Linked DNA regions of Rattus norvegicus. The protein of the gene in region 1 purifies or fractionates together with the protein of each later gene. This does not show direct contact. Links are inferred from orthologs where the notes say so. Each region holds a gene or a part of one and is shown on either strand. Other genes may lie near its edges.

Region 1 (3,808 bases):
GAAAGGGTGGCCATTGATTGTCATTTTTAGAAACACAATACATATTTTTTTATACATTTCAGCTAAGGCCTTGGCCCTTTGGAAGTACCTTCCATCTGTCTAGGCTTTGTTATCACACTCCCCACCTCCTGTAGGCCAGTGGGAGGCTGTTGTGCTGGCAGAGAACTCTGTAGCCTTTCTTCCCTGCTGACACTTTCCTTCCTGGTTCCTAGAACATGCCCCATCATCCTTGCTCCAAACACTCACTCTCCATCTCTAAAGCAGGAGTGAGGCAGACACAGTGCTGCCAGGGACTGCAGTGGTGAGTGCCCAGAACCCAGAACACACACCTAACTACCATAACTTCTAGGTAGAGAGAACAGGCTCTTGGAGGCCATCTATCTGTCTTTGTCTGAAGGCCATCTCTCTGTCTTTGTCTGGAGGTCATTGTACTTTTTCTTTGAAACGTGGTCTCACAAAGTTGCTCAATGGAGAAAGGGTATAGAAATACTAGTGTACTCATATGTAGAGTTAAACAATTTGATTCTCAAACTGCATTCTCTGTACAGCTCAGGTAGGCCTCAAAATTGCAATCCTTTTGCCTCATTCCTTCACTGGACCTGACTAAAACTATTTCTTTGGAAATCAATCTCCCCCACCCCCTCTGACTTGGACCACTAAAGTTTTGACTTGGGGAATAAATGTTATATTTTTCTGCCAGAAATTCAAAATGATGTCAAAACTAAGTCAAAAGTCAAAAAACTCTTCAGTGTGTTTGCATTTGCCTAGTAAATGATTTTCTTGCTGTCTATGAAATGGCTTTATGATGAAATTGTTCCTTAAAAGTAGTTGTCAAGTTATCGTCAATGTTTTATAGTCTATTTTATAATTATTGTCCTTGTATAAATTCCCAACATTGGGAATTCATAAAGATGTTTTAAAAAAAAAAGAAAGAGAGAAAGAAGAAAAAAATCGTAAATGTCCAGAAAGTTCTGTGGTTCCAATGTTTGACTGTCAATTTGAACTTTTAGACTACATTGAGTTTAACTCAGGCCAGGGCCCTTGGATGATGTCCTGCTGTCATGTTTGCAGGCAGAACTGTGTAGAAAGGTAACATGATCTAACATGGCATTTATGACATTCTTGGTATAGCAAGAAGCAGACTTACACAGGCCTGGGGGGCAGGTGTAAGCAAACCCGAAGGTCAGTGGCTTATCCAGACTTGTAACTGGGGATGGAGTGACACTTGTGTGCTTCTCTCTGACTTCCTGTGTGCCATTAAGCTCTCCCTCCTCCCTCCCCCACTCACACCCCCTATTCAACTATTGGACTAATCTTGAGTTTAGATCTTTTTCCCAGGAAGCCCTCTCTTTCCAGTGGCTGCCGCCACTCGGCCTTTGACCACAGCGATAACAGAGCCACGATACTTCTAGTTAATATGTACTCATCTCTTCCTTAATTCCAGCTGCTACCTGGGTTTACTTAGATCCCACGAATATAGGTTGGCACTGTATTCCCCTTATGATTGAAGAATCAGAAGCACCTAATCCTAAGACTTGGGCTTCTCCCCGTTTAGTGGTGAAAATGGGTTTGTCCTCAAGGTCACTTGATCCCACATACTCCCCACTTTATCTAGGACCCTTCTGCCTCTGATTCTTAAACTCTACCAGTTGCACATTAAATTCCTGGCCCTCCCAGGAGCTGAGGTCCCATGCACAGGAGTTCTCTGATCTTCTAGAACAAGAATATATTATTAACCTGTTGTTTGTGGATGTGTTCACATTTCCTTACAGGAAGGAGTGTGTGTGGGGGGTGGGGTGGGGTTTACATTGTAACAGGGAAGGGATTTATCTCAAAGGGTAGAGATAGTGCCTCAAAGACGGTGGAGATTTCTGTCTGAGACCTGTGTGCTTTTGTTTCTTAGGTTCCCCTTACTATGACAACGTCCGTCCCCTCTCTTACCCAGATTCTGATGCTGTGCTCATTTGCTTTGACATCAGTAGACCAGAAACTCTGGACAGTGTCTTAAAGAAGGTAAGTGCTAAGGAACGAGGATGTCATTTAGCACTTTCGACCATATAGGATTAGAGATGGGCGATTGGCTAGGGGGTACAAAGATTCTGAATGAACTAAAAGACTGGAAAGGACACTTCCACACCAAAACATTGATGCCGTTAGTGGCTAATTAATCTGCTTAAGTCCCTAAAACTAAACAAAATACTTTTCATGATCTTTCGTGTTTGTTTTTGGGAGAAAATGGAGTGAAAATGTAGGAAATAGCTTAACTCTTACCTGACCCTTCATTCCTTTGCTTGACAGACTAGACTCCTCCTTATGTGTTTGCCTTTGATCTCAACTCAGATATTCACCTTAATACAATAAGAGCTATTTTGACAAGGGAGTTGTAGTTTAGTTATTTTTAGAAACATGAGTGAAATTAGCATAAGAGGGATATATGTGGTGGGGCTCATCCCTACAAATGCAGCAATGTGAATTACAATCAGATATGTACTAATCAAATACTAATAAGGCATCAGTTATGCCGCCAACCATGCCTTTTATCACACAGCCCTGGTTACTGGAGGCAAAGGTGGGTCAGATTCTATGGGTGCAGATGGGACTAGAAGAAGCTGTGACAGAGGAAGCATCTTAGTCACTCACTTTGCTGGGTGCTGTTAGTTTGAGGTTGAGACAGTAGCTGTACTACACCTTCCTTTCTGTGCACTGCACTTGTGGCTAAGAGCACAGAATATCACTCAGTGGTTGTCCCTGTGGCTCTGTCCATGTGGGGGCAGAGCTGAAAGGAAGCGCACCTATGTAGAAGTCCAGGCTTGGTCCATTTGGGCTGTGTTCTTTTGGTTTCTACTTTCAGTGGCATTTGCATTTTATGTGTTCTTATTAGTTGATTTTTCCTTTAGGGTACTTAGTTGCTTGGGTAGTTCCTTATAAATAAATTTAAGGTTTGAGGCATAGCCCTCCTTCAGTTTTTGCTAAAAATTGCAAGCAGTTCAATGAAATTGAACTCTTGGTAGATCAAAGGGTCCTTCTTAGTTTGTAACACCTTTCTGTTCTAAGTAATGTATGAAACACAGGGTTGACTTTTTGTCAGATTCTGTCTGGAAGACAGACAGCTTTTCCTGCTCTTAAGGCTATAAACAAGTAGAGGGAGGCCCACAACATCACAAGCTGAGAACAGAACAACATGCCTGTCTATGTGTGGAGAGAAAAGGAGCACTTATTTCCTGATGCTTGTACTTGATGTAGTGGGTTATACATAATTTATGACAGAAAGCTTTTCTATTCTTCTACTTTGATTTTGCCTACTAACACCAAACAAATAGTGCCATTGGCCCTGTAGATAGTAATGAATGTGTTTGACATTTGTATGAGCTGCAAGCTTACGGTAACTTACTTTATCTGTGTTTTGTCTTACGGATATTAGAGACTTAAAGTAGAGAAAAAACTAAGTCTTTCAATTCTTTAGGAGAACGTGCTAGATGCCTCTAAATAATTGTGAAAGGGAGGTGGAAAGGAAAGGCTCAGTGGACAGATCAGGCACTCGGTGTGTTACTGCCCTCCATATGCTGGAGCACTTCGTGACTAGATATCATTGACTCACCTACACCTTGAGGTCTGGAGCTGTCCTCTGGTAGTCTCTTAAATCACTCTTTAGGAATGTCCCTCTTCCCTAGTATTACACTTACAAACATTTATTGCCTCTTCTGCTCTGTCAACTCCCAAAAGACGAAGCTACATCATCATTACATTCTTCCCAGGGCACCAAAGACATGGTAGGTGTGGGTAGAAGAGTCTCGAACCCTCTAGCCCC
Region 2 (4,525 bases), on another chromosome or scaffold:
TTGTGATCCACCATGTGAGTGCGAGGAACTGAACTAGGGTCCTAAGAATAGACAGTGCGTTTTACCATTGAACCATCTCTCCAGCCCCAATTATTAATTTTAGTGTGTGTGTGTGTGTGTAGCATGTACATGCAGATATGTCAAAACATGCATGTTAGAAGACAGTCTGGAGAGATGGCCCAGTGATTAAGAGCACTGACTGCTCTTCCAGAGGTTCTGGGTTCAAATCCCAGCAATCACATGGTGGCTCACAACCATCTGTAACGGGGTCTGATGCCCTCCTCTGGTGTGTCTGAAGACAGCTACAGTGTACTTATACATAATAAATAAATCTAAAAAAAAAAAAAAAAGAAGACAGACTTCCCCTTGCAGCTTGGGTTTGGATTCAGCAAAAGCCCTTATCCTCAGCCATCTTTATGACCTCTTGCAAGAGGGTTGAAAATCGCTGTCCATGGGGGGTTGTGGGGGTTGCATGCCTTTAAATCGCAGCACTCTCAAGGTGGAGATGGGTGGATCTCTGTGAGTTCAAGGTTAGCCAGGGCTACACAGTGAGATCCTGACTCAAAAACAACAAAAAACAAATCAGCAATGATAAAATGGCTCCCCTGGGGCTGGAAAGATGGTTCCGCGGCTAAGTGCACAGGCTATTCTTCCAAAGGACCTGGGTTCAATTCCCAGTACCCGTGTGGCAGCTTGTAACCGTAACTCCAGTTCTAAGGGATCTGACACCTACACACACAGAATATAAACAGGCAGAACACGGATATACTTTTTAAAAAGAAGAAAAAAAAGCTGTCTCTCTATTGATAATCCTATTTCAATAAACAATTAGGGGAAATTCCTCAAAGCCTTTTAGCCAGGACAGTGGTTCTCCTGAGGAAACTCAGTGGAACCTCGTGGGCTGGGCTAGAGGGTCTCTGGGTGCGGGGCTGGTAATTTTGCGAAAGTTAAGTTTGGTGCGTGCGCCGAGCTGGGAACACTAACAACTACAGCAGCAGCCGTTCAATGAGGCCACCCGCCCCTGGTCCTCCCACCTCTGCCGCGTCCTCAACCCTGGATCCGCGGGTGGCAGCCATTCCGAACGAGTGGGGGCGCGGCACGGAGCGGAGGGGTGCGGGTGCCGCCGACCCGCGTGTCTGGGTGCGGGAGGCGCCTGCTCTTTGGAGGCACTTCCGGCCGGGGCGGCAGCCGCGGCGGCGTGGCTACCGTGCAGGAGACCGCCTGGAACCGGGGTGCACCGGCGCGCGTGGCCATCACCAGAAGGGCCTGGGGGGGCGGGGGGCGGGGAACCCAGCTGGGTGGGACCCACCTGGGACACGCCCCGTCTCTCGGGGAGGCGCCGTCGGGGGCCGCCTGCTCCCCGCCCCCCGCGGCCGCCCTGCGCTCCGCCCCCCGCCCACCTGCCCCGCCCCGCCTCGCGCGCCAGGCGCCCCGGCGCTCGGTTCCCCCGCTCCCGCGCTCGGTCCTCGGCTCCCGCGCTCGGTTCCCCCACGGCTCGGCGCCATGGGTGAGTGCGGTCCCGCGGACGGTCTGCTCCCCCCTCGCAGGCTGACTGGCAGTCCCGGGGGCTCGGAGGGCGTCGCGCGCAGTGGGGGCCGGGCCTGCCCCGGGGAGGGCCTTGCTGGAGCCGGGTGGATGCCGGCCTCTGCACCCAGGACTAGCTGCAGCTGCCGGGTCCTCGCCCCTGCCCCCTCGCTGCGGCGCTCAAGCCTCCTGAAAGAAAGGGCATCAGCTTGGAGGGGGCCAAACTCACGGTCAGAGATAGAAGGGGACAGAGGTCGCCCCAGGCCCAGGGAAGGGAATGTCTGGCACCAGAGGGTCCGAGTTGGAGAGAGAACAGGGTTAGAAAGGGCATCTTGGACCCTCGGAGTCCCCCTCCTCCTGGCCCGGATTGCTTAGAAAGTCTGGGGCCCCGGGAGGTTACCAAGTCACCCTCCTGCTAGTGGGACGGAGGGAGTAGCCGATTTCCAAAGACTCCCCCCTGGAATCTGGACAATTTCCCTGGGGAACTGCACAGAAAAGGGCTCTGCAAACAGATCCCCCTTCAGATAAGTTGGCGTTTAAAAGAGAAAAGGACACTGACTTCCTTTGAAGGCAGGAGTGAGGAGTCCGCCCCACGGGTCCCCTGGCCTGGAGGACACAAGGGCCCAGGGGAGTGTGGGTGCTACCCCCATCCCCAAACTGATGCCCTCTGCTTCTCCACAGAAGACCAGAGCCCTGCAGAGGAGAAGGGACTGCGCTGCCAGAACCCAGCCTGCATGGACAAAGGCCGGGCTGCCAAGGTAGGGGGGCTGGATAGCTTGGGGCATGGGGGCATGGGTAAGTTCTCATTACCCAGGATGCTGTGGAGCCCTTACCTGGACGAAGTAATGTCCTCTGGATTCAGGAGGACTGGTTTAGGAGGAGAGGGTGTTCATGGGTCAGGGGTAGTGGAGCGGGAGACATTTCAAAACAAGGAACAGCCCCATGGGGGTCCTTGCCACTGCCTGAGGATGTGGGTGGGAGCCACAGCCCAGCCTCACAGGTGAGGAAGCAGAGGGTTAAGGAGGGAAGGGTCCCACGGTTTGGTTTGGTACCTGGCCACTAGTCCTGGGCATAGTTCTGGGATACTGTGGGGCTTGAGTGAAGCTGTGTCTATGGAGTTGACGAAGGGGAAGAGGGAAGGGGCAGTTGGTCTTAGAGTCTGAGGAGTCGGGATAAATCAAAGAGAATGGAGTCAGGGGAAGCTGTAACAGCAAAAAATATCACTTGGGCACTTCTGCCTGTGACGGGCTGGGCTCTGTGCCACACGCTTTCTGTGCCTTACCCACGGCCGTGGCAGCGGGGGAGGTGTTGTCACCCTGCCTTGCAGAGAAAGATACCAAAGTTCAGAGAGGTCCTGTGACTTGGACAAGGCCCCACGGTTCCTAAGAGCCTCCCAGCTCACATTTGTGTGACAATGGTCATCTCCAAGGAGGTATCAGCTTGCTCCTCCCTTCTGGGAGGGGTCCCAAGCTCCTTGCCACTCACAGGTGAGGCTCTGGAGAGATGGTTTGACCTAGTGGCTCTTGACTGGCAAGTGGTGGACAGGGGATCCGAACCTAGGATTCAGATCTGCAAAGCCAGGATCCCATGTTCCTGACTTCCACGCACCTTGGCCCTGCCAGCTGCGGGAGATTTAAAATGCCGCCTCCCCACCATTCATCCGGCACAGGAGGCCCATGGTCAGAAGGAACATGAGGACTGTTCTGGGGGTGGGAAGAGGAGGGGGCGGCCTCCAGTTGCCGTGGTCACCAGGCAAGGGGGCGGCTGTGATGTCAGATACAATCTGCTGGCTCCGGTGGTGCCTGGCGTTGGGCTCTGGTGTTGGCTGGCTGCCTCTCCCCCAGATTGGCAAGCAGGCTGGCCCCAGCTCCCTCAACACATCTGCTGGGAAACTGAAGCATCTGTCTGACCTAAAGGGGTGACAGAGGAATGAGACATTGTCCCATCCCTCCCAGGGCCTCCCCGGGGGCTGGGACAGGGCCCCAAGCTGCTGTGGACAGGTCTTGTGGCATGAGGAGAGGGCTGGTCCCTGATGAGCTGCTGGCCCTCTGGTCTGCATGGGACTCAGCTCAGCTCCACTGTAGTCATGGGAGAAGAGGAACAAGTAACAGTTTGGTGAGAAGGAGTGACAGAGGTCGGTCCTGATGCTTTCGCTTCTCACTGTGGTGATATGTGAGGTGCCCTGGACAAAGAAACCCCCACAGGGCGAGACTCTCTGAGTAGAAGGCATGTCCTTAATCTAGAACTGTTAGCAAGCCAAGGCCATCTGCCCACAGGGCTGCACCTGATTCTGTGAGGGCTCCCTGGGGGGCTAGGACTTGTGAGATCTGCCTCACCCCGTGGTCTGTCTCTGGACTCCACGAGTGTCGGGGTTGTCGTGGTTGTCGTGATGGACTTTCTGAAGGCCGGAGAACAGAGTGAGCAGGGAAGGGGTGTGGGCTGTGAGATGGGAGGAGTCAGCCGGGGAAGGTTGAACCGGAAGGATGAGCTTCATCAGGAGCACTCTACCTAATTCTCTGTCAGGACCAGACGCCTTGGAGACCCGTGGCTCACACTGTTGAGTTCCAGGGTCGTGCCCACTTCTTTGCAGTTGTGTGGCCCTGAGCAGCCACTGCACCTCTCTCAGTTGCCCTGAGGGTTTTTTTAATATGCATACACTGTAGCTGTCTTCAGACACACCAGAAGAGGGCATCGGATCCCGTTACAGATGGTTGTGAGCCACCATGTGGTTGCTGGGAATTGAACTCAGGACCTCTGGAGGAGCAGCCAGCGCTCTTAACCGCTGAGCCATCTCTCCAGCCCTACCCTGAGGTTTTTAAAGAAGCCCTCCGTGTAGAATGCTCAGCACTGTCCCCTGTGGTACTGTGTTCAGAAGCACTAGCGGTGACCCTGGAGTTCGTTTGTAGAACGTGTGTGTAATCAAGCCTGTCTCCTGGGCTTTGGATGGACTCCGTGTGGCTCCTCCCTGAGAGATTTCACAGGGCTCCACCGCAGTCTGCCC

The links.
Region 2: the proteins of Rnd3 (region 1) and Plekhg5 purify together in Homo sapiens (affinity purification with western blotting; 3 studies listed by BioGRID and IntAct, with this or other methods). This does not show direct contact. The link is inferred for Rattus norvegicus from reciprocal best matches to the Homo sapiens genes RND3 and PLEKHG5.

Annotation. Positions count from the first base shown.
Region 1 is NC_086021.1:55,984,911-55,988,718, reverse strand, and holds part of Rnd3 (rho-related GTP-binding protein RhoE), read left to right. Parts: intron 1-1,903; coding exon 1,904-2,013; intron 2,014-3,808. UniProt on the Homo sapiens protein: Binds GTP but lacks intrinsic GTPase activity and is resistant to Rho-specific GTPase-activating proteins.
Region 2 is NC_086023.1:167,873,736-167,878,260, forward strand, and holds the start of Plekhg5 (pleckstrin homology domain-containing family G member 5), read left to right. Parts: upstream 1-1,436; 5' UTR 1,437-1,503; coding exon 1,504-1,507; intron 1,508-1,591; exon of another isoform or gene 1,592-1,754; intron 1,755-2,205; coding exon 2,206-2,282; intron 2,283-4,525. UniProt on the Homo sapiens protein: Functions as a guanine exchange factor (GEF) for RAB26 and thus regulates autophagy of synaptic vesicles in axon terminal of motoneurons. Involved in the control of neuronal cell differentiation.